4 linked regions of the Coturnix japonica genome follow. The protein of the gene in region 4 purifies or fractionates together with the protein of the main gene of each other region. This does not show direct contact. Links are inferred from orthologs where the notes say so. Each region holds a gene or a part of one and is shown on either strand. Other genes may lie near its edges.

Region 1 (7,191 bases), on a different chromosome or scaffold from region 4:
CAGAAAGGCCTAGGGAAAAGGGAGAAGAACAAAGCTTAGGAGAGCAGCCCCAATGGATAAGCACAATATAGAACAAGTCTCAGGAGACAAGGAATTAAAGCAGCCAAAGTAGGGAGCATAAGAGAGCATCACAACTACAAAAAGTAGTCCAAACAAACCCGTTGGCTCTAGCCAACTCTTCTGACCCATGAGCGGTGAGGAGATTTCTCTTAAGATTTTACATTTTGCAAGTCCATGATTTACATTTTGCTGCAATGTTTGGCAGTCACTAAAGAAATCTCAAACCTACAAAACGAGCAAACAAAAATCCCTAAATCCAGAGGAGCTTGCAACAGAAGTTTGGTGCGTTTTTCCTTAAAACGAAAATGCCACATTTTGTTGTGCACGAGGCACCCCAAAGCTACAATTAACATGGTGCAACTTCCAAGATTAATGCACTGATCTACTATATACTTTAGTACACATTTATTCTAATGCAAGCACTGCTTCTAGCTTAGAACAAAAAACACTGAAAAATTCATGAACGCTGTAAGTGTACTGATGTTGTTTGCTTTGCTTTTACTCAATCTGAAAGGTTAAATTATCTGGGGGAAAATATACCCAATCCAACTCAATTTAGAAGAGTATCGATTCTCAGTGTTGCACAGAACTACATATAAAAATCAGGAGTTCTGTCGGAATATAGTTTTAGTCGATGGGACTTCTCTTCTGGAAAAAATGAGGAAAGCAGAAAGGGGAAAAAGAAGTGAGAGAACATATAAAAGTTCTGCTATAAACAAGGATATAGCTTTTTTTCTCTGTAAAAACCTCAGCTGCCTTTAAAATGAAAAACCTCTAAGTAACCCCCTCTCCTTCAGTTGCCACTCTGCTGAGACAGAAGTAGGGAAGGAGAAGGATGGGCTTTGCCAAGTGAGCTATCACAGCTACCCATGGATGGGGCATGGGGGTGAAAAAAAAAAGAGAAAGGCTTAAGCCACTTAAAAGTCACATGGTTGGTTTGTTTCAAAGCAAGCAGGTCAATGTCATATCCACTGTTTCAAACTGCTTTGCTAGGAGAGGGACTTGGATGATGTCACTGTAGTCAGTTCAGTGTGGGGCAGGTGTAGGTCTGGTGAGATCTTCAGGAGATCCAGTGGGGTTCAGTCTCAGCTGTAGGGCCTGTCAGCCAGCAGGACCAGCTGGGCATCAGCTGTGCTCCTAGGCCTTGCTTTCCTCCACTTTTACAGCCTGAGGTTTGATCGCTCCTGTGCGCACTGGTTTCATCTGGCTCGTGGAGGCAGTTTCTTGCAGCTTTACTGCTCCCAGATTGGCTTTACTTTCATCCACCCGTTGCTTTGCCTTTTGACATATAGAAAAAGAAGCATTAGAAAAAACATCGGTGACCAACATCCATGCAAGATATCAAATTTGCTCCAGAATTCAATTGTCTTCTCTGTCTGCCACCATAATACACCTTATACAAAGGATCTCAAATGCCCATATAAATATCCAACATAAGCACCACGTGACATGCAACCATCTAACTTGTCGTGACCTCCCATCACCGAGCATTACTCATGGGCTCAGTACAGCATCCACTCAGTCCACTCTCTTGCTTTCCCTGCAATTAATATAACTTCCACTTCTTAACTACACTGTCACTCTCTCAAGTACAAGGAACAAGGGTGATGCTATAGAAGAGCAGACACTACTGGGTCAAAGTACTGACATACACTACCTGTTGCACATAGTGTCCTTGCACAGAGCCCATACTAACTGCTGGTCCAGATGGCTTCCCATTTGGGCTGGCAGAGCTAGGCCTGGAAATCGAAGAGTCGACAACATTCATGGAGTAAATTCTACAATGGAACAAGAACCTTATTCATGTGTGAAAGAAAAAAAAAGAGCAAAAAGCAACAACAGACAGAGCATGAGTCTGAACACATGAATTCAGCTCAAAAGAAAACACATGGATTTCTTAGAAGTATTGAAAGTCTCAAGGAGACCTTAGTGACCTGAAGGAACGTTTGCATATTACTGACTCTCATCTTGAAAAGATGAGACCATGTTGGAACTAAAATATCTACTCAGTGATTCCAATTTTCTACCTAAAGAGAAACATACAAAAACAGAATTCCAATTTGCCTCAATAATGCTGAAAACAAATAACTTTAGACAGTTCCCACAAGCATCAATGACCACATCAGAGACACACTGGTCCCTAACCAAGAACGAAAGCTGTTAACATTTTGATATAAGCATTTGGACTACACCAAATTTTACACATGAAAACCCAAGTGGACCTTACACAGGGATAATGTATATGCACCATGTTGCCACAAATGGGGAACACTACTCCTCCCTCGTTCTGACTACAGAGGCCAAATTCTGTAAGTATTTACCTGTATGCATGTGGTGATGGTACAGAGCCTCCAGAGGACATATTCTGTTTACCATCGGAAAAATGAAAGCCTTTCATTTCCATTTGGGAGGACTACAGAGGAAAATGAGCAAGAGCATATATCATTTCTGCTTTTAGGGAAAGTCTGTTACTTTATATGAATGCTTAAACTAAACTTCTGCCCTTCTACCCATGTGCCCATTAAAAGAAGAAACATTTTTCAGATGAAGAAAACTAGGGTTTAAAGTGAAAAAGATCTGCTTGTATTAAATGAACATGCCAGCAGCACAAGCAAATTCTAAACCTGGAAGTTAATTGCTGTACTCTCTCAACCCTAGAATAGACAAACTTATGATACAAATCCATCAAGCCAGACATGACATTAATATACCTACTCAAATGGAAAAGCTTCACAACAGTGTGAAATATCTGGGCAGTATTCCAACTGTGTCTGGAGCTCACCACCCCTCAAGCACTCTGGGGAAACCTGTGTAAACACGTAATAAAACTGGAGACTCCAAACTGGATCGAGGCAAGATATGGCTCTCCGGAAACAGAATGATGACCAGCAGTAAAACCTGAAAGACTGCTGGCCTGTGCCAGATGAGAAGAAAAGGGCTCCTTCGTTTTAACACCAGTAATTGCGTTTGAGACTTAAGGATCCCCAGCAAGCTAGTCTCTTCATTAACAAGCAAGATCAAGGAGGAAAGCTGCAGTTAATCCTCACCTCCCTGCTGGCAGCAAGAACTGAAGGCTGTGATCCAGGAGGAAGAATTCTTCGGGGAGCTCCTACAGACAGGTTTTGCCCCTGAGGAAGCTGGATGGACTGTGGCAGAATCAGGGGCTGCTGGCCAGAGCCATAACGAGGCAGCGGAAGCTGGGAGCCAGGCACAGGCATCGTTAGCTGTATGATAAGGACATGTAGTTAAAGTAGCAGTGTTTGCTGCATTGGGTTGAGATGCTCTCTCCTAATATCCTGAAAGCACAGTATTGCTACAAAGAATCTCAAAAATAGTGCAGTCTGGCACAGGGTAAATGCAAATTAATGTATCAAGAGGAAATTTTACACTGAAAAATCACGAGCTGGTAGCACTGCCGACACTCTGCCAGCTGGGTTTTTAACACATCAGCTTATTAACATAACTGCACTTTTCCCCTTGCACAAAACCTTCATCCAGTTTTTCAATCTTCCTCCTTGTCTGCACGTGTAATTTTTCTCTTGACCCAACAGCAGTGTCAGACAGATCTGACAGCATCAGACACTCTTTTTGCAGCTTTAATAGCCCAGCCATGAAGTCTGCTCTACTTTCACACCAAAGCATCTCCAGAAAAAGCAATGGTTCTCTTTCTATCTTCTGCAATGAATTTCAATTTGATTATGGTAATAATTAAAGGGTATTTACAAGAAGCAGCTCATGTCTCAACAACCTCCTGTTTGTTCTGATTTATCTGGCAGTAATTGCAACTGCTGCATTTGGGAGGTACCATGACATCACTTTGGGATAAAATAACAAAAACTTAAGGCTGAAATTACCCTGCTGGCTCTGGCTCTTAGAAGTAGTACTTTTAAGACAACCATCGCATCAGAGCCTTCTACCTGGGAAGCACTGCAAGGTTTGATTCTGCACAAAGCGTTTGTCTGGAGGGTGAGGACATCTCTCAGTGTAAAAGGTCATCATAGTGGGGACATGCAAGTAATTAGTAAGAATCTCATTAAATAAGATGCTGTATTTTTGAAGCAACAGCTCATAGAAGAATCTCATGAAAAAGCCTTTTACCTCTTTACAATGAACTGAGCTCATATAAACACGATTTAACGCAGCTATTAGTTACAACCCAGTCTCAGAAACAAGTGATAAAAGAGAGACTTGCAAGCCCTGCTCCTAACCTGTGTAAGCTGAGAGTCCATCATCTGTGAGGCTCCCATACCAGCTGCTTGGTTTATCTGGCCTTCATAAACCAGGGTCTGGCTTCCATTCAAGGGCTGATAGGGAGATCCAGACTGGGTTTTCACCACCTCCAAGGGCTGCATGCCTGGGAAGGCGGAATATGGAGGCTTTAGAGCAGTGCCTCCTGTCAGGACCATGGTGCTGGGCTGAGACAGACTGGGGTGCATATACACCTGAGACCTGGAGAAGAAAAACAGTTCTTAAGTTGTTATGTAGAAAACCTTTGGAGACTACAAACACAATGCCTAACAAAAGGTATCTGGCTTCCAGTCAGCAAACAGTTCTCAGCAATTCTGTCCTTGTGTTGCAGGAGTCTTCAACAAAATGACAGTGTGTCCCATCCAAAGTTCATATTAATACTCTGCACAGTATCTTCTGGATTTAGTAGTAAAGGAAGGACTCAATTTACCAGAAGTTTTGCAAAGCAGAAATCATGAATTAAAAGATTCAACCAGCTCCAGTAGATTTTTGAGGCCTGCAAGAACCACCTTGATCCCTTGCCCTCTTTAATATAAAAAAAAAACCACAGGGTAGAGAATATATGAATCCCATAGCCAGCCCAACTCTGAAGCGGATGTCTCATTCCTTCAGTTCTTACTGAAGGAACAGTATGTTCTTCCAAGAACAGTAAGCAGTTCTTGTAGTTACCTGAAGGGTTGTATGGAGCTGTACATCTCCTGGGACTGAGAAACAGGCAGACCACCTCTCAGGCCAAGCTGAGCTTGGGCCTGCAAGGATGTGTGGAGGGAAATGGGAATCTGTTGAGCAGCAGCCGCCTACGGAAGAAATTGAGACCACTGAGAGGTACAAGAGCAATCAAAATCTCTCCTAGGCTATTATAAAGCCATCAGTTTCCTCAATAAGTTAACGTACCATGACAATGACCTATACTGCAGCTTTGCACAGCCCCTCCTACAAAAGAGGAGCACAATGGCAGGGAAAGAAACTGCACAGGCACCTGAGAGAGAAGAGTATTCCAAGAGGCATCTGATGGATACATAAGGGGACCAATGTAGTACACACACAGAGCACCAAGTTTGCAATTACTTGCACTCCTACCCTCCACACAGGACTACCTAAAGAAAATAAATGACATGTCCAACCATGTTGTCTAAATGCTTTTAGAACTCTGTGCTGTGACCACGTCCCTGGGGAGTCTGTTCCAAGAACCCTCTTAGCAAGTGATCTTTTCCTAATACACAACCTGAACTTGGACTAGATCCCTTGGACTATCAGAGAGATAAACACTGTTTCTTACACATCACCCTGAAGACTTCTTGAAAAAACATTAGCTAGTTACATGTCTCCCTTACTTGTTGGTAGCTTTGCTGCTGAGGTATCGTCTGAGGAACCAGGCGGGGCTGACTTGCAAATACATGGCCATCCAGATACAGGGGTGGAATATGGTTACCTAAATATCAGAGAAGAGAGGCTGTAATTTAAGGTGCAGGCACAGCACCCAATAGAGACCCACCAGCCCACTAAGACTAACAGCTCAGGAACTGGCAATCTCTGCTCCAAACTCTTCCTATATGCCAGAAACCTGCTCTGCAATCACCGCAAATCTGTAGCTAGGAGGAACAGAAAGGGCAAACAGGATATTTGAGACCTTCACATAAGCAATCTAAAAGCCATTTTTACCCTGAGCGGCACCAAGAGGAAAGCAGTACACCATTCCTGTGCCTGCATATCTGAACATGGGATCTCCAAACAAAATGAGGTGAAGAATTTGCCAGGGTGGGAGTGAGGGAAATAAATGACCTAACTTGGAAATAGAGTGTTTTCTAAACAAATTAGCTACAATGGCTGACTCATTATCCATTTTGAACTGAGAAATGAGAAGAACTCTCACTGCATTCAAGAGAGGTCCTTTGGGACCCAGGAACCAGACTCCAGGTATGTTTCTTTTTTTCCATACCTGGAATAGATGCAGAAGGTGCTACGGACGCCACAGGCATAGGAGGCATAGAAACTCCACCAAAAGAGCTGTAGCTGACACCATTGGAAGCTCCAACACTGGAAGGAGGCTGGATGCCTGAGCCCGCACCTCCTGGAGAGTTTTGTTCTGGTAAACTAGGAGAGTTTTCCCAAGCCTTACGAGCAGACTCCATCTACGGAAATGAAGGGCGATAATTGTAGACAATTATCTGCAGACAATTCAAACATGGAGGATAATACTGAGGTCTAGAGCTGCTCATCTGTAAACTATTAATTCAGTCTAAACCCACTCCAATCAGAGTAGAACGCTAACAGATCTCTGATCAAGTGGCTTCATATCCATTCCCTGAGGGTAAGTATCCCCCTGGATATTTGATAAGTTGTTCTCGGGGTGGCAAGGAGGGGTATTTCTTTTTTGTTGGCTTTTTGTTGTTTTTAAACAACAGGTGTCTAAGATCACTGATGAGTCACCTTACTCACTTATTGAGACAGTCACTACTCAGAAAGCTCTGCCACATGTTTACTTTTACAATTAACGAGGACTTCAGCACCCAGGACTGCTGGAACTCATCCCTCTTCATCCATGATAAATAGCGAATATACTTCACTAATACAGGAAATACCTACAGATTTAGCAGTGTCTAAAAACAGGGAGAAAGACCACTCCACCCTCACTACTCTGGTCAAGCAGACAAGGTACCCACTTTGAGGACAAGCACATATGCCAGCTTACTTACCTTAAGAGTAAGTTCTGCGGTGGGGAAGGACATTGGATTCAGGCCAATGCACCTCTGAAGGTGATGATCTCTTCGCAGAATGGGAATGGTCTGCGTTAGCCCTGCCTGAGAGCAGATTGGTGAATGGTGAATATTCAAGGAGAAATTCAAGAGGTAATACAGCCTCAGCTGGCAGCTAAAGTAAATA
Region 2 (6,338 bases), on a different chromosome or scaffold from region 4:
CTGAATTCAATGTAAGGTTAATTAATGAGCAATTAATACGGATCGAATTGAAGCCCCCCCCCATCGGCAGCGCTCGGTCATTTCCTCCGTCTCTGCTGCCACCTTCTGGCCAAAAGGTGGAACTGCAGGAGCGGCGCTCGGTATGAGCAACATGGGGATACACGAGGGGCTGGGGGTGGGTTTGGGATGGGGTCGGGGTCGTGTAGGATAATGGTGTGGATTGGGATGGGGCCGTGTAGGATAACGGTGTGGATTGGGATGGAAGGAGCCCTGTGTACCCCCCCCCCCATCACCACCCAGCGCCCTTCGGCCGTTCCGATCACCTTTATTGGAGGAAACCAACAGAAAACCCAACAGCGCCCGGCGCCGCAGCCCCACAACCACCCCAACGGGGCAGGGAGGGGGTGATGGGGGGCTGATGTGGGGCCAGAACCCCCCCATGGACCCCCAACCCCCCCCAGCAACCCCCATAGGCAGCAGGGTGGAGCGCTGGGGTCCGGCCGGGTCAGTTTTCCTCCTTTTTTTTCCCCTCCTTTTGCTGATTCTTGGCTTGATTTGGACGGGGCGGCGCTGGGTTTTCCGTTCCATTTCGGCGCTGGGGTTGGGGGACGGGCCGTCACTCGCCGCATTCCTCCTCCTCGCCGTCCACTGACAGCGCTGCGTACTTGCTGGCGTGGCTGAACTGTGGGGTGAGGAGCAGCGCCGTGGGGCTGAGCTCTGCCCCACAACCAGGCAAACACACCCACCCCCAATAGCCCCCAACCACCAAAAAGCCCTAAATCCCAAAGCCTTGAATCCCAAAGCCCCGAATCCCAAAGCCCTATAAGGTCTCCAAAGCCCCATATCCATAGAAAAACCCATAAAACCCCCAAAGCTCCAAAGCCAAAAGCCTGGGGCTGTGCTCCATAGCTCAGCCTGAGTGTGGCATTGCCTCCAGCCCCATCCAATCCCACTGGGGTCACACCCAGGTCCCATCAGGTCCCTTACGGGACCCAATGTCAATGAATCAGACCCAGGTCCCACCCAATCCCATTGGGTTCACACCCAGGTCCTGTTGGGTCCCATTATGGTCACAGGTCCTGTCAGGTCCCATCAGCCCCAGTTCCCACCCAATCCCTCTGGGATCACCCCCAGCTCCTGTCAGGCTCCCCCTCCCCACTCACGGTGGCTGGGCTGTCCTCCAGTCTCTTTGGCTCAGGCGCAGCTCTCGCCTCGTGCTCCTTGCGGCTGTCTTTCCTGGGGAGGGATGGGGAGGTCACTGAGCGGGGTGACACGGGGTGGCACCCCCCCATTAACCCTAATGAGCTGCTCTCACCTCTCAGCTGAGCTCCCACTGCGCGCCTTTGGGCCATCCCGGCCCCCATCCGGCTTGTTCTCATCTCCTGGGGAGGGGACACGACCATGGGCTGAGGACGCTGTGTCCCCCCCCCAACCTCAGTGCCACCAAGGGGACAGTTGTGCCCCCCATCCCACTGCCTGCCCCCCTCACCTCTCCGGTGGGTGCTCCTCGGGGCAGCCCCGTTCTCTGCAGGTGGGCGGGAAGCCGTCTGGCTGCTGGGGGGACAGAGGGTCACAGTGGGGTGAGAAAGGGGGACAGGTGTGGGGTCAGATATGGGGGTCAATCATTGGGGTTGGCTATTGGGATCAGATATGGGGGTCAGATACGAGGGTCCACCACTGGGGCTGGTCCCGTGGGGTTAGATATGGGGATCCCCCATTGGCATTGGCCACTGGGATCAGATATGGGGGTCAACAATGAATCAGAATGTGGGGGGTGATCAGCCTTATAGGGGACTGATCGCAGGAGCTCCAGCCCCACACCAACCTTGCAGGGGAAGATCTGGGTTTCTGCCCCCCAACCCCTGCAGGGAAAACACCTGGAGCTCCCAGCCCCACACCAAGCTCTCAGGGAACCATTTGGGCTCCCAGCCTCGTGCTGAGATCCCAGCACAACACTCCAGGCTCCCAGCCCCATAGCAAGGCCCCCTTCACCCCTCACCTGCTGGGTGAGTGCTGCTCAGAGTCAGAGCCCGGGGAGCGCCCGGCGGTGCTGCTGCTGCGCTTGGCCCACGCGTTCTCCTTTGGGGGGGGTGCGGGCATCACCTTCAATGGCTGCTTCTCCTCACGACCCTCCTCCTCACCCTCCACCGACTTCTCACTCTCCCTCCTCCGTGTGGCTGCAGGGGGGGGGGGGTCACACAGCGGTAGGCAGGGCTGGAGATGAGACCCCCCATGTCTCCCATTCCCAGCCCCCTGCCCAACACTTACTCCTGCCGGTGGGGCCGGTGCCGGCGGTGGTGCCGGGGGGTCCGGCAGCTCCGCTCTGCGAGGACTCGCTGCCCGTCCGCGACCGCTCGGGGTTGTCCTCACTGCGGCTGCTGGGGTACCTGGAGGTGGGGGGCGAGAGGGGGGATGCGGCTCAGCGTGGCAGCCTGCAGAGCTCTGCCCACCCCCCAGCGCCCCCCTAACACCGCGTCCCCCCACCGCTCTCGGGGCCGTCGCTCCAGCCTCTTGTCGTCCTCCAGCTGCCGCTGCAGCTTCTCCTGTTCCTTCTGCAGCCTCTCCTCCACCTCGCGCTCGCGGGCGGCCGTGTCCACGGGTTTGGCCCCCCCGAAGATGGAGGCGGCGCGGCTGGACTGCGGTGCAGGGGCTGCTGTGCTCTCCTCCTCCTTCGGAGCGCTGCGCGGCTTCAGGTTCAGCTTGGGGCGCTGCGTGGGGCCTGTGGGGTGGCAAATGGGGCTGGGGGGTATCCAACACCCCCACATCCCATACACAATGCATCCTGCAGCTGTCCACATATCCTGTGCCCTCAATCCCACATTCTCCTACAGCCCCCCATCCAACACCCCCTACCCCAAAACACACATCACCCATCCTACATTCTGCATTCCCCTACACCACCCATCCTGCATTCCTCTACACCCCCCAATCCCAACCCCATCTCCTAAATGTCACTCCACCCCCACCCATAACCCCACATCCTGTATCCCCCTACACCCCTCATCCCACCCCACACCCTAAATCCCCCTACACCCCCACCCCATACCCCACATCCTCCATCCCCTCCCACCCACCACCCCAAGCCCTACCCCTCCCCTGCCCCCATTACCCCTCTCTTCACGCCGGAACTCATCCCTCCCGTATTCCTCTCTCCCTCCCCAGCGCTCGTCGCGCCTCTCGTAGCGGTCCTCATAGCGGTCGCTGCCACCCCTGAAGTCGTCATCGCGGCGGTAGCCACTGCCGAAGGCCCTTCGGCCACTGCCGATGCGCGAGTTGTAGCCTGGGGGGTGCAGAGCTCAGCCCCCCTGTGCCCACAGTGTGGGGACTCACCCACAGCCATTGGGAGTCACCCACAGGTAAATGGGAGTCACCCTCAAGATGCTGGAGTTGACCCTCAGCTATTGGGATTCACCCTCAGACACTGGGATTCACCCTCAGATACAAGGACACAACCTCAGCTATTGGGTTTCAGCCTCAAATATAGGGATTAAGCTTCAATATTGGGATTCGCCCTCAACTATTGGGACTGTCACCCAGGTACTGAGGTTCACACTCAGATATTGGGATTCACTCCCAGGTATTGGGATTAACCCTCAGATACTGGGATTAATTCTCAGGTATTTTGATTCACTCTCAAATACTGGGATTAACTCTCAGGTGTTGAGGTTCACCCTCAGATACTGCAATTCACCTTCAAGTACTGGGATTAAACTTCAGCTATTGGGATTCACCCTCAACTATTGGGATTTCCCCATATCTCCACTCCCACCCCCATGTGGCAGCACTGCCTCACCCCGGTCATAGTCTCTGCTGCGATCATCGTAGCGATCTCTGCCTCCAAAGCCACGGTCCATGTCGCGTCGCGGGCCGTCGCGATACCGATCATCATAGCGATCCCGATACCCTACACAATGGGGCCGGCAGTGGGGTCAGGGCTCACGGCACCCCACATCCAGGGGTCCCTGTTCCTGCCTTGATCCCGACTCACTGTCCCCAAAGGCGTCGTCCCCACGGCGCGGTGGGTAATCATCGAAGCTGTCGGAGGCGGCGGGACGTGCACGCCAGTCGCTCTCAAACCTCTCAGAGTCCCGGAAACGATCCCGGTCCCGTCCGAAACAGCGATCGTCCCGGTCTGAAGGATGGGATGGGGAAGGGAAAAGGGAGAGAGAAGGGGAAAAGGGAAGAGAAAAAGGGAGGGGGAAAGGGAAAGGAAAGAGGAATGGCAAGGGAATGCAAAAAGGGGAAGGGGAAAAGGAATGGGAATGGGAAAAGAGAAGGGAAAAGGGAATAGGAAAAGGGGGAGGGGAGAGGAGAGTAAGTGGCATCAGACTGGGGCTGGGGACAGAGCATAGTGCAGCACCCCACATGTGGCAGGGAGCACTGACGTTCTGGAACCACACAGTGCTGTACCATCGTGTGACAGGGACTCACCTTTATCCTGAGCTTGGTCAGCAACATCCACTCGTATCCTTCTGTTTCCTAGAGACTGGGCAAAAAAAAAAAGAAAAAGCGAGGAATCAGACCCAAGGAATCAGCCTCAACCTCCAAATATTGGCCCCAACCCCAAGGGATCAGTGAGAGCCAACACTGAGGTGATGCTTTAACACAGAGTAGGCGGGTTGTGCACCATCAGGGCTCTCCTGGAGAACCAAAAGCCAAAAGTCTGCTCTCCTTAGGGCCCTAAAGGCAAAGTTCTGCTCTCCTTTGGACTCTGAAGGCAACATTCTGTTCTCCTGGGGGTCCTAAAGGCAACATTCTGCCCCATTTCAGCCCTCCCCACACAGATCTGCCAGCCCCAGAGAGATCCAAACTTGGTGGTGCCACTTTGATGCCTCCTAGGCTGTGCAGAGCCTGCCCTGCTGCTGACACTTGGGGTCCTGAGCTCACCTCCTCATTGAGGCTCAGCGCCTGGAACAAGGAGTCAATATCTTCAAACTCAGCATAGCCAAAACCTTTCAACCTCTCCGGGTTGGTGGGCTCCCGCGGCAAGCGAACAGCACTGATCTGCAGGGAGGAAAGAGGAGGAGGAAGGAACGTGTTAGGGCCACTGTCCTGTGGTCAGAAGCAAAACCATGGGGTTGTCTGTGAGCCTGTTGGCCCCATTTAATCCATCTGGTAGAACCCAAAGCCATCAGATGGTTCTATGATCTGTAAGGACCCTTCCAACTCAATCATCCTATGGTTTGATAATCTCTCAGGATGTTTCCATCCCAACCATCCCATGATTCTATGATCTTCAAGGACCCCACTGTGCTGTGCCCCCCATGCAACTCACATTGAGGCCCCGGAAGAAGTCCTTGATGGATTCCTCAGTGACATCGTAGGGCAGGTTGCCCAGGAAGGCCGTGTAGGGCGGGCACTTGGGCAGGCGGCTGCGGTCAATGTTGGGCTCGCGTGCGGCGCGGGGGGCGGTGGGCAGCAGCGAGCGGTCGATCAGCGGTGCCCGGTACACATCATCATCATTGCTGTGCCACGCAGTGGAGACTGTGGGAGAGAATGGGTGGGCTGAAGGAGGTGGGCATGGCGTGGAGGTGGTGGGTTAAAAGAGGTGGCCATGGGATGCAGGGGGTGGCTACTGCGTGGAGGTGGTGGTCATGTGTTGCAGGAGGTGGCCAAGAGCTGCAGGGGAGGGTGGCCAAAACATGGGGGTGGTGGCCATGGGCTAAAGAGGGTGGGCACAATGTGGAGGTGGTGGCCATGGGCTGCTTGGCCAGAGCAAAGAGGTGGTGGCCGTGGGCTAGAGGTGGTGGCCACATCATCTAGATGGTGGTCATGTGTTATACACAGTGGCCACCCCACATAGATGGTGGCCAACTCATGCAGACTGTGACCCCTCAACATGGATGGTAGCCCCCCAAAAACAGACGGTATCTGCCCTAGGCTCGCTCTCACCCCTACCGTCGCCGTCCAGGTCATCGGTCTCATCAGCCCAGCTGACCGGCTTGGGGATGTAGGTGGGTGCACCGCTGCCGCCATCCTCAGCCAGGAAGTCGGTCAGGGTCAGGGTCTTCCCCTTCTTGTTCTTCTTCTTGGCTGCTGCGGGGTGGGGGGGGCGGCGAGATCGGCACCATGGCTCTGTCTGCACCCCATGACCCCCCTCCCATTGGTGGCAATGGGATGTGGGGAGGAGGGTGGGGGTCAAGGGGAGCATGCGGAGCTCCCTGCATTCACAAAGCTGCCTTGAATCAGTGAGGAGCTCTGCCAAAGTGGCACAGGTGGCACCAAATGTGGCGTAGAGCTCATCAGAATTGGCACAGGGGTCACCAGTACTGGCATAGAGGTCAGTAAAACTGGCACAGGGGGCACCAAAATCACACAGAGCTCCTTAGAACTGGCAC
Region 3 (7,791 bases), on a different chromosome or scaffold from region 4:
GGGCAGTGGTTCCCAAGTGGACTCAGCCCGGATGAATTTGGCATCCTCCTTCGTGAACGGCTTTGTAAATGCTGCATTCGGCCAAGACAAGCTGCTGACAGATGATGGCAATAAATGGTTGTACAAGAACAAAGACCACGGTGAGGGTTGGAGGTGGCTGTGGGCTTGGGGTTGTGACCCTTTGTGGGCCCTGCTGAAAGTGTGGCAGTTGGGTACAGCCCTGCTGTGTCCAGGCTGGTCACACTGACTTGGGCTTTTCTCCCTGGGAACCTGGGAACTCAACAGGAATGTTGAGTGCTGCAGCTTCATTGGGCACTATACTGCTGTGGGACGTGGATGGGGGCCTCACACAGATTGACAAGTACCTCTATTCCTCAGAGGATTACATTAAGGTGAGTGGCACTGATCTCAGCCCCATACTCACTTGGTACCAACCAGCCTGTCCTGGGGAGCAAGTGTAACCTGTGGGGTGACATGAGTCACTGGCTGGCAGGGAGCTCCATGTGGTGGTGGCTAGTGCATAATGGTGCCTCTGTTTCATAGTCGGGTGCCCTGCTGGCCTGTGGCATCGTCAACTCAGGAGTGAGGAATGAATGCGACCCTGCCCTGGCCCTGCTATCTGACTATGTCCTCCACAACAGCAACACCATGCGGATCGGAGCCATTTTTGGGTAAGGGTCTGCCCTGGCGTCCTTGGCTGTGTGGGATGGTGCAGCCATCCCTGACATTCCTCTCTGTTCTCCATAGGCTGGGGCTGGCCTACGCGGGCTCCAACCGCGAGGATGTCCTGACTTTGCTGCTGCCAGTGATGGGGGACTCTAAGTCCAGCATGGAGGTAGGGAGCAGAGCAGGGTGTGCTGCACGAGTCCCTGACAGCTCCTGGGGATGCTGGGGCTGGTTTGGGCTCTGCATGTCCTTGTGTGATGTGCTGTGCCCTAAGAACATGGCTCCCTCCCCAGGTGGCTGGTGTGACGGCCCTGGCTTGTGGCATGATATCTGTGGGCTCTTGCAATGGGGATGTCACCTCCACCATCCTCCAAACCATCATGGAGAAATCAGAGACGGAGCTGAAGGACACCTATGCCCGGTGGCTGCCGCTTGGCCTGGGCTTGAACCACTTGGGTAAGAAAGGGCAGCACTGGTGGTCCTGTGAGCTGGGACTGTGAGCATCTCTTGGGTGCCCTGAACTCTGTGCCTCTTCACAGGCAAGGGAGAAGCCATCGAGGCGATCCTGGCAGCGCTGGAGGTGGTGTCGGAGCCGTTCCGCAGCTTTGCCAACACATTGGTAGACATCTGTGCCTATGCTGGTGCGTTGAGCTGACCAAGGCTGAGGGAGGTGGGAGTGGGACCAGGCCTTCCTTCTGCTCATCCTTACCCACTGCTGACCTCACAGGTTCAGGGAATGTCCTGAAGGTACAGCAGCTTCTGCACATCTGCAGTGAGCACTTTGACTCCAAGGAGAAAGAGGAAGACAAAGACAAGAAGGACAAAAAGGAGAAAGAGAAGAAAGAAAACTCAGCTGACATGGGAGCACACCAGGTAGGAAAACCTGGGCTGGAACCTGCGGCCCAGGCCCAGTAGCTGCCCTGTCTGGAGTCAGACCCAGAGGAAGTGGCCCCAGCAGGATCCTCTGCTCTCGCTGTCCAGCTGGGCTGTAAGAGATTGCATTTGCAGTTGGTGGTCTCTGCCTGGCATTCAGTACTGGTGTCTCTGCAGGGTGTAGCAGTGTTGGGCATTGCACTTATTGCCATGGGTGAGGAGATTGGTGCAGAGATGGCCCTGCGCACGTTTGGTCACCTGGTGAGTGGCAGCTGGGGGACAATGTGGGGCTGGGAAGGGACCTGGATGAAGAGGGCAGATCTTCTCTCACATCTTGGCCTTGGTAAGCTGGGTTGTGGATGCCCCACCGTGCCCTTGCCCCTACCTGGGTTTTAATATCTTCTCTCTCTCTGTTCCATGCAGCTGCGGTATGGGGAGCCCACCCTGCGCCGTGCTGTGCCCCTGGCCCTGGCGCTAATCTCTGTTCTAACCCCCGTCTCAACATCCTGGACACCCTCAGCAAGTTCTCCCACGATGCTGACCCTGAAGTCTCCTACAACTCTATCTTTGCCATGGGCATGGTGGGCAGTGGTAAGCCTGGGTGGCAGCTTGTGTGTTATGGTGGGCAGCCATGGGACCAGGCCGGTGCCTCAATCCCTGCCTTCTCCAGGTACCAACAACGCCCGGCTGGCTGCAATGCTGCGGCAGCTCGCCCAGTACCACGCCAAGGACCCCAACAACCTCTTCATGGTGCGGTTAGCCCAGGTGATGATCCCACACTTGTGGTTGGGAAGAGATGGGGGTGGCTGTGGATGGGGGGGCCACCACGTGTTGCCCCACTTGTGCTCACGTGCTTTCTGTGCCACACCAGGGCCTGACCCACTTGGGTAAGGGGACGCTCACCCTGTGCCCCTACGCAACAGCGCATAGGGCAGCTCATGAGCCACGGTGGCTGTAGGCTGACTGTTGACCGTCCTCGTGTCCTTCCTGGATGTGCGCAACAGTGAGTAACGTGTCATAGAGTGTTTCATCCATCCCCTCCTTCCCACACTCACACTCTCCCTTTCATCCCCTTTCAGTTATCCTGGGCAAGTCCCACTATGTCCTGTACGGGCTGGTTGCGGCCATGCGAGGCCGCCGTATGTTGGTCAACTTTCGATGAGGAGCTGCGTCCTCTGCCTGTATCGGTTCGGGTTGGACAGGTGAGGAGCTGGAGCCTGATATGGGTGGCTGGGGGGGGTTATATCCCATAACTCCTCATCTCAGCATGCTTGCTCCTGCAGGCTGTGGATGTGGTGGGCCAAGCGGGCAAACCCAAAACCATCACCGGCTTCCAGACCCACACCACCCCTGTGCTGCTGGCACACGGCGAGGCGGGGCAGAGCTGGCCACCGAGGAGCACGTGCCCGTCAACCCCCATCTTGGAGGGCTTCGTTTTTTCCCCCATCCTGCGGCAAGAACCGCAATACTACGACTGTTGAGGGGGGCTGGGGGCTGAGTGGTTGGGGGGGGGGGGGAGAATGACTGGGGGTTTTTTTGGGGGGGGGGGGGTTGTTTTTATTTGTTACTGGGAGATGAGGAAATAAAGTCTGCGTGGATCGGTGCTGCTGTGCTGCCCTTCAGTTCTGAGCCTGTCCGTCGGGCAGCACCCAGCGCACCGTGCAGCTCCGAGGGTCGCGCTGTGTGTCCGTGCCCCCGCCGGTCCCTCCATTCACGTGACACGGGCGGGGGGCGGCGCTCGGTCTCGGTGCCGCCCGGTCGGTGTCCCCTCCCCCGCTGGTTGTGCCCCTCCCCCCGTGGTTGCGCTGCGCGCTGGCTCCGGAAATGGTCGTGCTGCGCTGCGCTGCGGCTGCGTCGGGCCGCGCGCGCTGAAGGAGACTGAAGGTAACGGGCGGGGGCGGGGCGGGAGCGCGCCGCGGGGGGGGGGGGGGGGGGGGGGGGGGGGGGGCACCGGCACCGGGACCGAGTGCGGCGGGGTGAACCGAACCGCGGCGTGGAACCGCCGGGCATCGCCGCGCCGCCGGGCCCCGCCGCTACCGCTACAAGCGCCGCCGCTACCACGTGGGCGCCGCCGGTCTGCACGCCGTTATCCGCGCTAAGCGCCGTCTCTCGGCCCCTCGTTCCGGTGTAGCCGGCCCGAGCGCCCGTTCCTTCCCCACGTGCCGCCGCCGTGCACGTGCTCCGCCGCCGGGCCCCGCCGCTCCGCCGCACGTGGCGCGCCCCAGCGCCCCGCCCGGGCCCGGTGTGAGGCCGCGGGGCCATGGCGGCGGGCGGCGGTGACACGTGTCCTTGGCACAGGCCGCGCCGCCGCGGGGGGGAGCGAAGCGCCGGGTGCCGCCCTGGGCCCCGCGCCGTGTCCCGCTCCGCTCCTTCCTCATCCCGGGGCCGCCAAGATGGAGCCGGCCCCTCCGGCCTAACACCCCCCCCCTACACACACACACACACACACACACACACACACACACACACACACACACACACACACATACACACCTCCCCTCCGCCCCGGGGTGAGTCACCGCCGCCCCGCTCTGCCCCGCTCTGCCCCCCGCCCGCAGCCGGTCGGGCCGGTCCGGGGCCGCGTCAGGCGGTGCTGGGGCCCGGCAGACGCCGCGGCGGCTCGACCCGGCCCGGGGGAACGGCCCCGTCATCGCCCCGCGGCGGGGGAGGAAGGACGGCACGGCGGGACGCGGGCGGCCGCACGGACACGGCGGGGGGGGAAGGCTGGAGGTGTCCGAGCCCGGTAGGCGGCACGGAACGGGCTCCGCGGGGCCTGAGCCGCCCTGTGAGCCGCGGGGCCCGGATCCCTTCGGGCGGCGCTTCGGGCCTGTAGGGCCGGGCCTGTGCCGCCTGCGGTGCGGCCTGAGCCCGCGTCTGGGGGCACCGAGCGGCCCCTCGGCTCGGCCCCGTGCCGGGGTTGGCGGCGGGGCGGGGCTGGGCCCGAGCGGGTCCGGGAGCCCGGCAGCGGGACCCGCGGCCTGAGCCGGCCCCTTGCGATGCCTCGGGCTGACTGTGTCTCTCCCCCCCTCTCTCCCCTCCTGCCGGCCCAGTCAGTCGGATGAAAGGTCTCTGCAGGCCCGATCAGTCGGCCCAGGTTTTTCCCGCGGGGGGGTGAGTATGGGGCGCCGTGCAGGCGCTTTGGGGCCGGGTTGTGGTGTCCCTCCCTGTGGGCCCGGCCTTGTGGTGGTGGTGGGCAGCTCGGTGTGTCTGTAGGCCCGGTGCCTTGGCTGTCCCAGAGAGCTGCTGCCCCTGCTGTACCTTGAATCCCTTTAGCCCCCCCCCATTAGCCAGCACTGTCAGTGCCCTGAGTATAGGATCGGGCCCCATCCAAGCACCTGGATGGTGTCAGGGCTGATGGCTGTATTTGGTGCTGCGGGTCCTTCTGAGGGTTGCTACCCCCACGCCTGGGGGGTGACAGGAAAGTGAGGGGGGTAGGCTGTGCCTTGCTCACCATAGGGCAGGGGGGCCAGCAGAGGGGCTGGGGGGCCGGCAGGCCGGCAATTGCTGACGCAGCCAGGCGTCGGGTTACAGGCACTGCTCGTGGGGCAGCCCTGCTGGCAGTGAGGCTCCCCCCCCTGCCCTAATGCTGCCATGGGACACAGGGACCCCCTCCATGGGCTGCAGCGTGGGGGGCACCTCCTCTCTCCTGCCCAGGTGCCCTTTGCACTCGGGCAGGAAGCGTGGAACATGGTGCCAAGTCCCTCCTGGGACCCAGCTGTGTCCCTGGAGGTGGGGGTGGTGGTGGTGGTGTGGTGGCATGGGGGGGACGTGGGAGCTGCTCCCTGCCCTCCCCGGTAGGCGTTTGCGGCATGAGCTGGGCTCCTGGCACCACCGGCAGGAACAGGTTTGGCCGGCCAGGGGAAGCGCTTTGTAGGTCAGCCGGGGTGGAGCCAGGGCACCCCGGCGTCAGCCTCTGTCCAACTCCACCCCAGCTCCTGGAGCTTCTCAGAGGGGCTGCGTGGCCCTGTTTTAGGATAGGAGATTACTGCAGGCTGTGAACACGATGCCATTTAGCTTATGCCTGTGCCTGCAGATAGCAAGGGGATCCTTATGCACAACCACATGAAATGAACAAAGCTCCACAGCCCACAGGAGGAGCCCCGACAGCCCCGCACCCTGCCCCTTCTCCCGGACTTCCACAGGTAATAGACGGCCCCTCCGATGGCTTTTGGGGGTGGGAGGTGCCCAGCTGCCTCTCTGATTTGGGATGAGGCTTCTAGAGGCTGTAGTGCCCACTGGTTCCCTCTATGCAGTCAGCGTTCCCACCTGGTCAGACGGCACCTGTGATTTTTAACCCGACACCGACCTCACAAATGAATACGCCTTCTCAGCCACGACAGGTAAGGGCTTTGCTATGGGGAAGATGAGGCTTTGGGGAGCTGGTTAAGATCTGCAGCCTCCTGACTGAGCAGCCCATGCTCTTCCTGGTTGGCCACAGCAGTGCTGGGGGCATGAGGATCCTGCCTTAGGGGGCTGGCGTGCACCTGCCCCCAATCTCCATCATGGTTTCCCTTCTCCCTGGCTCTGGGGTGAGGGCAGACAGCTCCTGCAGGGCACCCAACAAGTGACCGCTCTTTTCTCCTTCCTCCCCTTTCCAAACCTTGCTCTCTCCTCTCTCAGTTTCCAGCAGGGCCTCGTGCTATTCACCAGCAGGTACTAACCAGTCCCTACCCTGCATGCTGAGCGCCCGGGGCAGCCCCAGCACCTGGCGCTGCACAGAAACACTTGGGGAGAACGTGGGGAGCTGCACCGAGCCCCAGGGGGGAGCAGGCTGGAGGAAAGAGGTTCATTACTCAGTGGGATCAGCTGGAGGGGTTTCACTGCGGTGTCCCCGAGTTTCTTGGCTGCTTTTGCATGAAGTCTAGTGCATGTGGCTCTGCCTGTGCTAGTCCCAGCCCAGGCCTCTGCTTCTGCCTGTGCCCTTCTCCTCATCTTCTTCTTCCTTCTTTCTGTGGGGTGGAGTGTGGGGGGGGTCTCCTGAGGCAGCAGTTGTGTCACACTGCTGGCCTGTCCCTGACTAATGCAGTGCCCTGGGAGTGATAGTGTCTCTCTGCAGTGTACCCAGCATGTCCCTTAGGCTGTGGGAGGCTGCAGCCATGGTGGGGCTGGGACCTGACAGTGCCAGGAGGTGGACAAGGCCTTGTGCCCAGCAAGCTGGATGTGTCCCCCTGCATCCTGCCTGCAACGCTGCAGCTGTTGCCCCTGGGAGTTTGAGCAAAGCGCCTCATTCAGCTCCAAGGAACAGCTGGGCACAAACCTAGTGACATCCACACTGTGCTGGGTCCCCCTGGCTCCATAGGGACCTCCATAGGGGCAGGCAGCTCCCCGCGTCCCCCAGCATGGGTGGATCTGGGATGTGGCCATCACACTGGCAGCCTGGCTGCTGCTCCTCCATCCCACAGCACCACGCTTGCACTCCCACCCCGTCCCCTCTCACCACCCCATCCCCTCATCCCACCCCAGCGCGGCAGTGTAACTCCTGTCTCTCTCTCTTTCCCCTCTCCCTCTGTCTGCGTGCACTTGCTATCAGGGAGGATTCAGGTCTCTCCAGGTAATGCTTTCTCCTTGCTCCAGCCTTGCCCTGCACACCAGACGTGCAGACACCTCCTTCCCTGCTGCCTGTTCCCCAGCCCTGGGGTGCTGCCACCCAGTAAAGCAGTGCTGCAGGGGCTGCGTGTCCTGCACGTTGCAGCATGGCACAGTGGGACTGCAGGTCCCGGCATTCAGCGCGAGTGCCGGCCCCCATTGCAAGGCACGCTGGGACGTGCCGATGAGCTGCGTGCAGCCGTGGCCGGCTCCGGGCGCTGCCGGCCCTGCTGGGCTGGGAGTGGGCTGTGCTGGGCATGAGCTGGGTCGGATGGAGCCAGGTGGGCCCCCCACAGGTGTGTGGGGCAGTAGGGGGTGCCTGGAAAGGAGGGGAGGGGGTGTAAGGGGTGAGCTGCATTCTGGTGGGGGGGCTCCCCTCTTTAAATCTCCACCCAGGGGTGCTCCCTGTGCCTAGGATGAGTTTTGGGGTGATAGGTGCTGTGAACCTTCTGTCTGGGTTAGAGGGGGGGCCTGGCTCGGTTGCCTCGTCCCTTTGGCAGGGGGGTGCTATTGCTCTGGCCTCACTGCATCCCTGTCTCTCCCAAAGCATTTCTACCAGAACAGGGCCCAGCCTCCTGCCAGCGCGTCCCGCGTGCAGAGCAACACAACGGCCCGGCCTGGCCCTCCTGCCCATGTGTATCCAGCTGCTTCCCAGGTGATGATGAT
Region 4 (7,693 bases):
CTCATGTGACAACTCAGGATCAGCTCCGTCTAAGCGAGGAGAGCATTAATATAATTAAATACAACACATGCTGTACACAGAAGCATACTTGGAGAACTATCTGGACTATTTAAAAGATGATTAAATCAGACTCTTAAAAGCAAGACTTTGTCAAAGCTGTTTGGAGTATTGAGTCGTAAACAAACAAAAAAGGAAAAAGTCCCCTAGTAGGTCCAAGATCTCATTGATGTATAAATAATAGCATATTAGAGCTTGAAATCCTTGGTGGTTTTTCTTGACTCCCAGGCTTTTCCCCACCAGACTTCATAAGCAATTTCAAGGTTTTAGGTAGGAGATCCCATAAAATGGATCAGTAGAAAGCCTTAAGTATTCCCTGTCCAGATTTTCAAACTCCAGAGAAGGAAATGCCTCTTTCTTCAGCCTCCTAATGATAGTACAGCCTAGGCTTTACAGCCAAGTAAAATGATACGCTGTGCTACAGTTTGGTTGCAACATTGTCCTTCACAAGGGTAGCCACGAAAGATTGAAAATTCTAATCTCAGAGCAAGGTTTACAATACACCATTCTCCCAGTACCAGCACGGATGGAATCAAACATACACTTTTGAGGGGAGCTTTTATTTTTCTGCTCCAATTTGTTTTGTTTGTTGCTGTACTGTCTACCATACAAGTCAGCCTACGGACTGCAGGCTTTCCTGATACCTTCACTTTGCTCAGGAAGACATAACCTCCTTTAGTCACAATGTATCATCATCAGTGTTCCGGTACTTTTAAGGGCTGGTAAACTGCACAATACTTCCTACACAATAAATGAGAAGAGTCTTCTTCTGAACAGAAGGTATTCTTGCCAATACAACTGAACTTTATTTCAAATAATTTCTTACATTAAAGCTGTATTTTGTTACACAAGTTGATAAACCCAGAAGGCAAAAGATTCACTTATTCCATTTTAAAATAATGGGTTCATCCAAACTGCAGGAGTTCCTATTCACTTCCTAAACCATGTCAGGGATTTTCCAGGGAAGTAGAAATGAAGATGTAAACCAAGTCGTTTAGGTAATTAAGTTAAGGTCCGAGGGAATTTGTAACATCGCCATGGAAGTGTGTATCTGCTCACTCTTGAGGCTCTTTCAAGTGTAGGGTGGCAGAAGTTTCTTTATAAACTCAGAAGTTTTTCATTGAGAGCGATCTGTGACTGTGTGAGGTTTGCCAAGTAGGTTACCATCAGAAGGTCCTGAGAGAAAGAAAGAAAAAAAACAGTCATCAGAAATTTTAACAAAGATGAGAGCCTGGTATGGAGATGTGAATCTTTAACGCCTCCTGTAAAGCATTTTACAATCAGCTACTGGAACTATTGTTAGTCCCGAACGTCCTACCCTGAGGAATGCTTCCCTTACAGGAAGAAAGTGTTGGTATTCCTGGAACATGAAGCAGCACTTGTGAAATTTTAACTTAGAGTTCACCAGTATTAACCAGGAGAGTCAAAGGGTGGAAGCAAAATTAAAAATTAGTTGTGGTCTTGCAGACTACGGGCAAATAACAGATTCAGAAACTCAGCTTTCCAAATATCCATTACAGAAATAAAGTAGCACAATATAACCTTGTTTGGGTTCTTAAGTGCTCTGTCATGAGACAGAACTTCAGGTCAGGCAGAGAAGGCAGGGAAAGTCACTAGTTATCCTTAAGCTCCCTTCTCCACCTTCAGCTCTTAAAACATAAAGTTAGAGACAAGAAAGGGCTGTATTTTTTATGACCGTGTTGGTATGAAAAGGTAGTTTTGTTCATAAACAAAATTGTGTCTGTATGATATTTTCAAAATTGCTGGCAATACGCTTAGAAATCAGACAATGAACTCACATTAATATTGCTGTTCAACATCGTCTCAAAGTCCTCTGGTGAAATCTTTGGCACCTGGTTAATAAGATCCATCAGGAAACGCCCAACGGTGTTGTCGGCAGCCACTTTGCCAGACTATGCATAAGAAACACACTTCAGCATGAGTAAAACTCAGTAATAAAAACATAAAAACAGATGCATAATCTTATGTCAAACTTATCTTCAGTCTCATATAAAGTCTGCCTTACCAGTACATCCTCTGCATACTGTAGCACCATACCCAGGGTGTCCTGAATCCTGGCTGAGGCTGACCCCACCTGCTGTAAGTCACTGGACAAGCCGATCACTCGATTAGGGCTAAAGCAGGTCTTCATGATGAGATCCACTGAAAGCAAAACCAGGATCACTGAGAAATCCGACTGACACAGAAAGCAGCTTAAAACTTTAACTTGTTCAATACTCTCTAGGATAGCATCAGGTTCAGTGAGACAGTTTAATTCCCCCCCAGAGTGGTAATTTTACCAGGCTTAATAACCAAACAGCATTTGAACAGTATCACGACAATGGTTAGACCCAAAATAGGAATAAAGCATTCACCTCCTATCCGCTCTGTGTCGTAATAAACATACTTCACTGTCAGTGGTGTGAACATCACGCCCATAGTTTTACCAGGGACTCCCATTGGGGCACTAGGAAAAACACATAAATTCAGCATGGACACATCTGAAAGGAAATAATTTTCCATCTCAATGATCTTTATTAGCACTACAGTGTGAACACGAATAGGTTACTCACTGTCAGTAAAATCAGCAATATTAATACCATGTATAACCAAGGACAGGAAATCAATACAGGTATATTATTAACTGCAAATTTTCATCCAAAAATATTCCTAGCTGGTCTGACATTTATCAGTACAAGCGCATGATGAGTTCAGTACTGTCTTCTTGGTGAAGCTGACATGTCTGAGGGATAAAATGCCATTTGAAGAGACCTAGGCAGACTCAAGCAGTGTGCCCAGGTAAACCTCATGAGGTTTGATAAATCCAAGTGCACCTGGGTCGTGATAACCCCTGCTATCAGTATAACCTGGGGGATGTAAGGATGGAGCACAGCCCTGCCAAAAAGGACCTGGGGGAACTCATGGATGTTAAGCTGGACACAAGCCAGCAACATGCTTTGCAGCCCAGAGAGCCAACTGTATCCTGAAACGTGGCCAGCGGGGAGTGGGATGTGATCTTGCCCCTCTGCTCTGGTGAGGCCTCACCTGGAGTACTGCATCCAGATGCAGAGTCCTCAGCACAGGAGAAACATGGACCTATTAGAGTGCATCCAGAGGAGGGCCACAAATAGGATCCCAGGGATGAAACAACTCTGCTACGTGGACAGGCTGAGAGCTGGGGCTGTGTAGCCTGGAGAATGGTGTGAGGTGACCTGAGTGTGTCCTTTCAATATCTAAAGGGGAAGCTATATGAAGGAAGGGGGGCAGACTCTTCAGCAGAGTCTGTTGTGATAGGACAAGGGGAAATGGTTTCAAACTAAAAGAGGGGAGATTTACATTGGACAAAAAGAGAACATTTTTAAAATAGGGGTGGTGAGGCACTGGCACAGGTTGCCCAGACATGTGGTGGATGCCCCATTCCCGTAGGCATTCGAGGCTGGATAGGGCTCTAAGCAACACTATCAAGCTGTAGGTGCCATCCTGATACAATATCTGTTAGTAATTCAGACAGTTCCTGTCCCCATGTACCTGACATAGGCTTTAATGCTCATGCGTGAGTTCTGGAGACTTGTGTCCACAGTGAGGTGGATTGGATTGTGTGCTTCCCGGCTGTAGTACTCGTGGATCAGGACAGAATGTTCTGTGATGTCGTGACCTGTTGCGTACCTTGGAAAAAGCAAATGTTGAAAGACCACTCTTCTAATGTTCAAATGCCCAGTATTTGTTGGTATTTAACAGGTCTGTATTCTAAAACCCTGATGTCCAAGCACTGAGTTGCAGACACATAGTAAAGACTAGTATTATAACTAGGTCATGTGTAGTTTTATGGCTCTCCTAGAATTATAGGCTGAGTGCACACATGCCCAAAACATGCACAGGGTCAGTGTTGTATTACCATCAAAAAGAGTCAGTTTTTTGTCACTATGCTCTGGGCCAAATCTTTATTTCCTTATAAATCAAAGCATGCCAAGCAAATTTGGACCAGCAAAGTAAATCTTAAACAAATTAAACACCCCTGTGCAGGAGGCAGGGCTTGTTCATCTCGCTCCTTCAATTGCTCCGCAATTAACTTCTTGCATGCACAGGAAAGCGACTGCCATGAGAACTGCACCTTGCTGTGCCATGATGGGTTGTTGAGGAAGCCAAGAGTTCTGCGCTTGTAGGATTTTGTTCCATAGAAAGGGGCCAGAGAGGATGTCAATAGACAAACGAGGCCAGTTATCCGTGCACAAACGAGTTCTTTTCCTGTAACACCCCATCACAGGTATTTCCACCTTTACTCAGAGAACACCCTTGTGTTCAGGCTAACATCACCGTTTCCCACCAGCCCTTTGGTACTTTTGTGTTCTCCCTCCAGCTAGTTACCTTACAGACTGTATCACTGCATTCTAATAGATCCATGAGCATTCCCAACCCTCCTGTCTGTGACAGCTCTTCTAGACTAACCAAAAACGCTCTAAGTCTGCGACAGCATCCTTTCCTATCCTGAGTGATGGCACGACTTCACTGCTGCTTCTGCTTTCCAGCCTCTGACAGCAATGACAGATCTGAGGTATCTGAGGGACCTGCACAACTGCCCGCACTTCCCTGTGGCCATAGAACTCACCAGCCCAGGATGATCTCACTGGGAGACACCTTTTTGTGCAGCTCGTACATGTTTTTGGCAAACTCCATATCAACAGCCACCTGGGGAAGGGGACAGAGCCGAGTCAGCGGGTGCAGGAGCCCCGATGGCACATCCCCCATAGCCCCCACACCGTACCTCATCCTCGGACTCGTTGTGCGGGACGGAGAAGCAGTTGGTGACCTCCACCGAGTGCTTGTCCACGGTGCCTGCGGGACGACAGCGGTTAGTGGGGCGGTATTGGTCTTAGTGGGGCGGTATCAGTGGGGCGGTATCAGTGGGGCGGTATCAGTGGGGGCTGCGGCATTGCGGCTCTTACCCAGCAGGGTCCCGATGACCCGCGCCGCGCCCTCGTTGCGCCGCTCGAAGCTGTCCACGATGGAGGCCAGCACCACCGGGTGCAGCCGCACCACGCGGCCGCCGGGGAAAGGACCCGAGAGCGCGGCGGACAGCGGGGCGGAGGGCGGCGGTGCCGCCGGGGCTGAGGGCGGAGGGGGCGCGGCCGCCGTGGGTGTAGTGGGAGCAGCCGTGGGGCTGGGAGCCGGGGCGGCAGCGGGAGGGACCGGAGCCACAGCGGGAGCAGGAGCCGCCATTTTGCGAAGAGAAAGGGGAGAGACCTCGGCCACGACAATTGGCTGATCGGAACGCCTGTCACATACGCCACTTCCGTGAGCATCCGCCCCCTCATGGGCTGGCGCAGCGCTGAGCTCCTGTCTGCCAAAGGCAGAGCTGTGCTACCTGTGTGACGTGGTGTAGGAGCCTGCTTTGGCAGGGGGTTGGACTCGATGATCTCTAGAGGTCCCTTCCAACCCCTACAATTCTGTGATTCTCTGGTGTGATTTCTTTTTACAGCCCTTACACGTCACTGAGCCATTACTTTTGCATGTGCTGTTATGTCGGCTGCATCTTCACAGCTGATATATAATTTCTATATCAGTAGCTATCGTCTCATCTTGCTTGTGCAATGGGAATAAACATAATTTCTTGTTGAGAGGCGAAAAACCCCTTAGAGTACATTAAAAATATTGCATTGAATTACAGGTAAAATAAAATATGCATTTCATGTAGATAAGCATAATTAGGAAAAAGAATAGCAAGACTGATTTTCTGAATCTGTTGGTATCAAAGAATGGAAGTCTCTTTTCCTGCTTGGAACATCAGGTCTGTGTCTCCAGCTCTCACTGTGTTCATGGAACTCCCTCTCTGCCATTTCTCATGGTCATATTGCCAATGCTTTGGCTGGCTGTTGGTTATCTGTGTTTTTCAGGACTGTATGGTAAGTGTTGAGTCACGGCCTGAACCACTGATTGAACAGCTGGGGAAAGGACTGGTCAGCCCTGGGAGCACAGGTGAAGGCAATTCAGCTGTGTGCCTGGAGGGGATGCAGCCTGCCTGCACCTCTCTTAGACCTTATTTAAGGGCTGACTGCTGCTAGTAAAGGGTTTTTTCCTGGAGATCTCTCCTTAGTGAAGCTTTATGCTGCAAACCTAGAATTTTCTGATACAGGTGAGCAATCTTCTCTTACTTTATAGCACCTTTCTACTGTGTTGGTCCTTTTATCATTGCATCTCTTTTGTAATGCTTTTTCTATCATACTGGTCCATCCAATTGCTACTAGGATTTCTCTGGGGCTTTAGTATGAAGTAGTGATGGTCAGTGGCTTCTGGGTTTTAAATTAAAACTAAGTGGTAGTTTCCTTATTCAGCCTCAATGGAGTGTTTTGGATACTCCTCTGCTTCCTGTTCACTTGTGGTTGCTAGTAGATGAACGGCTATTGTTGGCAGCCTAATTTCTAGTATAATGCATTGGTTGATATGTCTTCATATTAGCAGAAGGAATTCAAACCGTTCCTCACTTTTTTTGCAATGTTTTATGGGGCTACTTTAATTATTAGAGATCCTGTTTGACATGGGGAGCTGCTGATGTTAAAGCTAGAATGGAAATCCCAATCCAGCCCCCAGCCGCTCGAGCAGATGCAGCCCCGCACGTCCCCGCCAGGTGGCGGCGCGGCCCCACGCAGAGCTCCCTGCCCTTTGTTCTTATAGAACAATTTTCCAACTTTGCTTCTCATGGATGAGTGTCCTTTCCTCAGTGTTCTCTGGGTTGACATCAGCACTTCCCATCCACTGGAGCCCAGACCAGAATTACATCCAGCCTCAGCAGACCTCTGGGACTGGAGCTGTTTGTGTCTGCCAGCACAAACATTTGCTTTGGTGGCTTGGGATGGAACCTGCGTGCAGAAGGGAAGTGACTAGTTTGGGAAATCCATATTTCATCTAAATAGTGTAAGGAACCTGCCTAGAGAGAGAATGGCAAAAATGCTGCTATTTTGTGCACTCCAGGGCTCTTATTTGTGAACTCTGATGTGGTTTTTATGCTGTCAGAGTCAGATGGTGTTGACTGTTCACAGCTCTGCATTCCATTTATTTATTTATTCTAGCATAAAGCAGCTACATTGTGCTGAATATAGGGGGGCAGTGAGAGAGAAGGTTAAAAGATTTTCATTTGCATACAGTAGGAGCTGAAAAGGAACTCAAGCAATAAAATTTAGGGGATGGTTTCTATACTGGAGCTTGGGAGTCCTGAGTGCCCATTGTGGTTTTGTTGCTGGCATCTTGGGTTATGTTGGACAAGCCATTCATGTAACTGAGGGAGTGGCAGAGGTGTGCTTTGGGTAGTATCTTTGCTCTTCCAATGTAGTGTTTCATAACAATTAGTGTTATTTCACTCCCATGTCTGCCACTGACTTTGGGAAGTCATTTAACATTTGTGTTTTGGTTTTCCACAGCTGTCAGATCTGACCCATATATTTGACTGGCTAGGTTTGTATAGGGGACATCCACAGACAATCTGCTGAGGAAAGGCAGGGAAGTCTCTGATCTTTAAGGAAACAGCTTTGAGAGGAAGCTGGAGGGTGCATTTCCTGACCTAGAGAATGAATTTCAGAAAGGGAAGAAGAGTCAGTCCAGCCTACTTGGGAGGAGGAAAGTAGCTATTTCTGTAGTGTTTTTC

What was found.
Region 1: the proteins of EIF3F (region 4) and PRRC2B purify together in Homo sapiens (affinity purification with mass spectrometry; 3 studies listed by BioGRID and IntAct, counting the BioPlex papers as one, with this or other methods). This does not show direct contact. The link is inferred for Coturnix japonica from reciprocal best matches to the Homo sapiens genes EIF3F and PRRC2B.
Region 2: the proteins of EIF3F (region 4) and EIF4B purify together in Homo sapiens (affinity purification with mass spectrometry; 3 studies listed by BioGRID). This does not show direct contact. The link is inferred for Coturnix japonica from reciprocal best matches to the Homo sapiens genes EIF3F and EIF4B.
Region 3: the proteins of EIF3F (region 4) and EIF4G1 purify together in Homo sapiens (affinity purification with mass spectrometry; 3 studies listed by BioGRID, with this or other methods). This does not show direct contact. The link is inferred for Coturnix japonica from reciprocal best matches to the Homo sapiens genes EIF3F and EIF4G1.

The regions. Positions count from the first base shown.
Region 1 is NC_029532.1:4,782,826-4,790,016, reverse strand, and holds part of PRRC2B (protein PRRC2B), read right to left. Parts: intron 7,110-7,191; coding exon 7,005-7,109; intron 6,441-7,004; coding exon 6,248-6,440; intron 5,741-6,247; coding exon 5,643-5,740; intron 5,106-5,642; coding exon 4,978-5,105; intron 4,510-4,977; coding exon 4,269-4,509; intron 3,285-4,268; coding exon 3,108-3,284; intron 2,868-3,107; exon of another isoform or gene 2,776-2,867; intron 2,474-2,775; coding exon 2,382-2,473; intron 1,839-2,381; coding exon 1,718-1,838; intron 1,339-1,717; coding exon 1,198-1,338; 3' UTR 1-1,197.
Region 2 is NC_029544.1:1,098,863-1,105,200, forward strand, and holds the end of EIF4B (eukaryotic translation initiation factor 4B), read right to left. Parts: intron 6,037-6,338; coding exon 5,893-6,036; intron 5,485-5,892; coding exon 5,276-5,484; intron 5,005-5,275; coding exon 4,888-5,004; intron 4,487-4,887; coding exon 4,432-4,486; intron 4,133-4,431; coding exon 3,989-4,132; intron 3,905-3,988; coding exon 3,794-3,904; intron 3,281-3,793; coding exon 3,110-3,280; intron 2,720-3,109; coding exon 2,485-2,719; intron 2,388-2,484; coding exon 2,269-2,387; intron 2,178-2,268; coding exon 2,000-2,177; intron 1,555-1,999; coding exon 1,490-1,554; intron 1,383-1,489; coding exon 1,316-1,382; intron 1,237-1,315; coding exon 1,164-1,236; intron 683-1,163; coding exon 617-682; 3' UTR 309-616; downstream 1-308. UniProt on the Homo sapiens protein: Required for the binding of mRNA to ribosomes. Functions in close association with EIF4-F and EIF4-A. Binds near the 5'-terminal cap of mRNA in presence of EIF-4F and ATP.
Region 3 is NC_029524.1:13,908,301-13,916,091, forward strand, and holds the start of EIF4G1 (eukaryotic translation initiation factor 4 gamma 1), read left to right. Parts: upstream 1-3,304; 5' UTR 3,305-3,423; intron 3,424-4,262; exon of another isoform or gene 4,263-4,282; intron 4,283-4,589; 5' UTR 4,590-4,650; intron 4,651-5,572; 5' UTR 5,573-5,606; coding exon 5,607-5,681; intron 5,682-5,792; coding exon 5,793-5,879; intron 5,880-6,159; coding exon 6,160-6,192; intron 6,193-7,069; coding exon 7,070-7,090; intron 7,091-7,303; exon of another isoform or gene 7,304-7,382; coding exon of another isoform or gene 7,383-7,421; intron 7,422-7,672; coding exon 7,673-7,791. Other genes in the region: PSMD2 (26S proteasome non-ATPase regulatory subunit 2), read left to right, coding at 1-140, 286-392, 544-671, 748-835, 960-1,122, 1,206-1,307, 1,394-1,539, 1,717-1,800 and 2 more.
Region 4 is NC_029521.1:13,752,403-13,760,095, forward strand, and holds EIF3F (eukaryotic translation initiation factor 3 subunit F), read right to left. Parts: upstream 5,297-7,693; 5' UTR 5,275-5,296; coding exon 5,001-5,274; intron 4,891-5,000; coding exon 4,820-4,890; intron 4,744-4,819; coding exon 4,664-4,743; intron 3,724-4,663; coding exon 3,586-3,723; intron 2,525-3,585; coding exon 2,433-2,524; intron 2,221-2,432; coding exon 2,084-2,220; intron 1,971-2,083; coding exon 1,857-1,970; intron 1,234-1,856; coding exon 1,156-1,233; 3' UTR 839-1,155; downstream 1-838. UniProt on the Homo sapiens protein: Component of the eukaryotic translation initiation factor 3 (eIF-3) complex, which is required for several steps in the initiation of protein synthesis.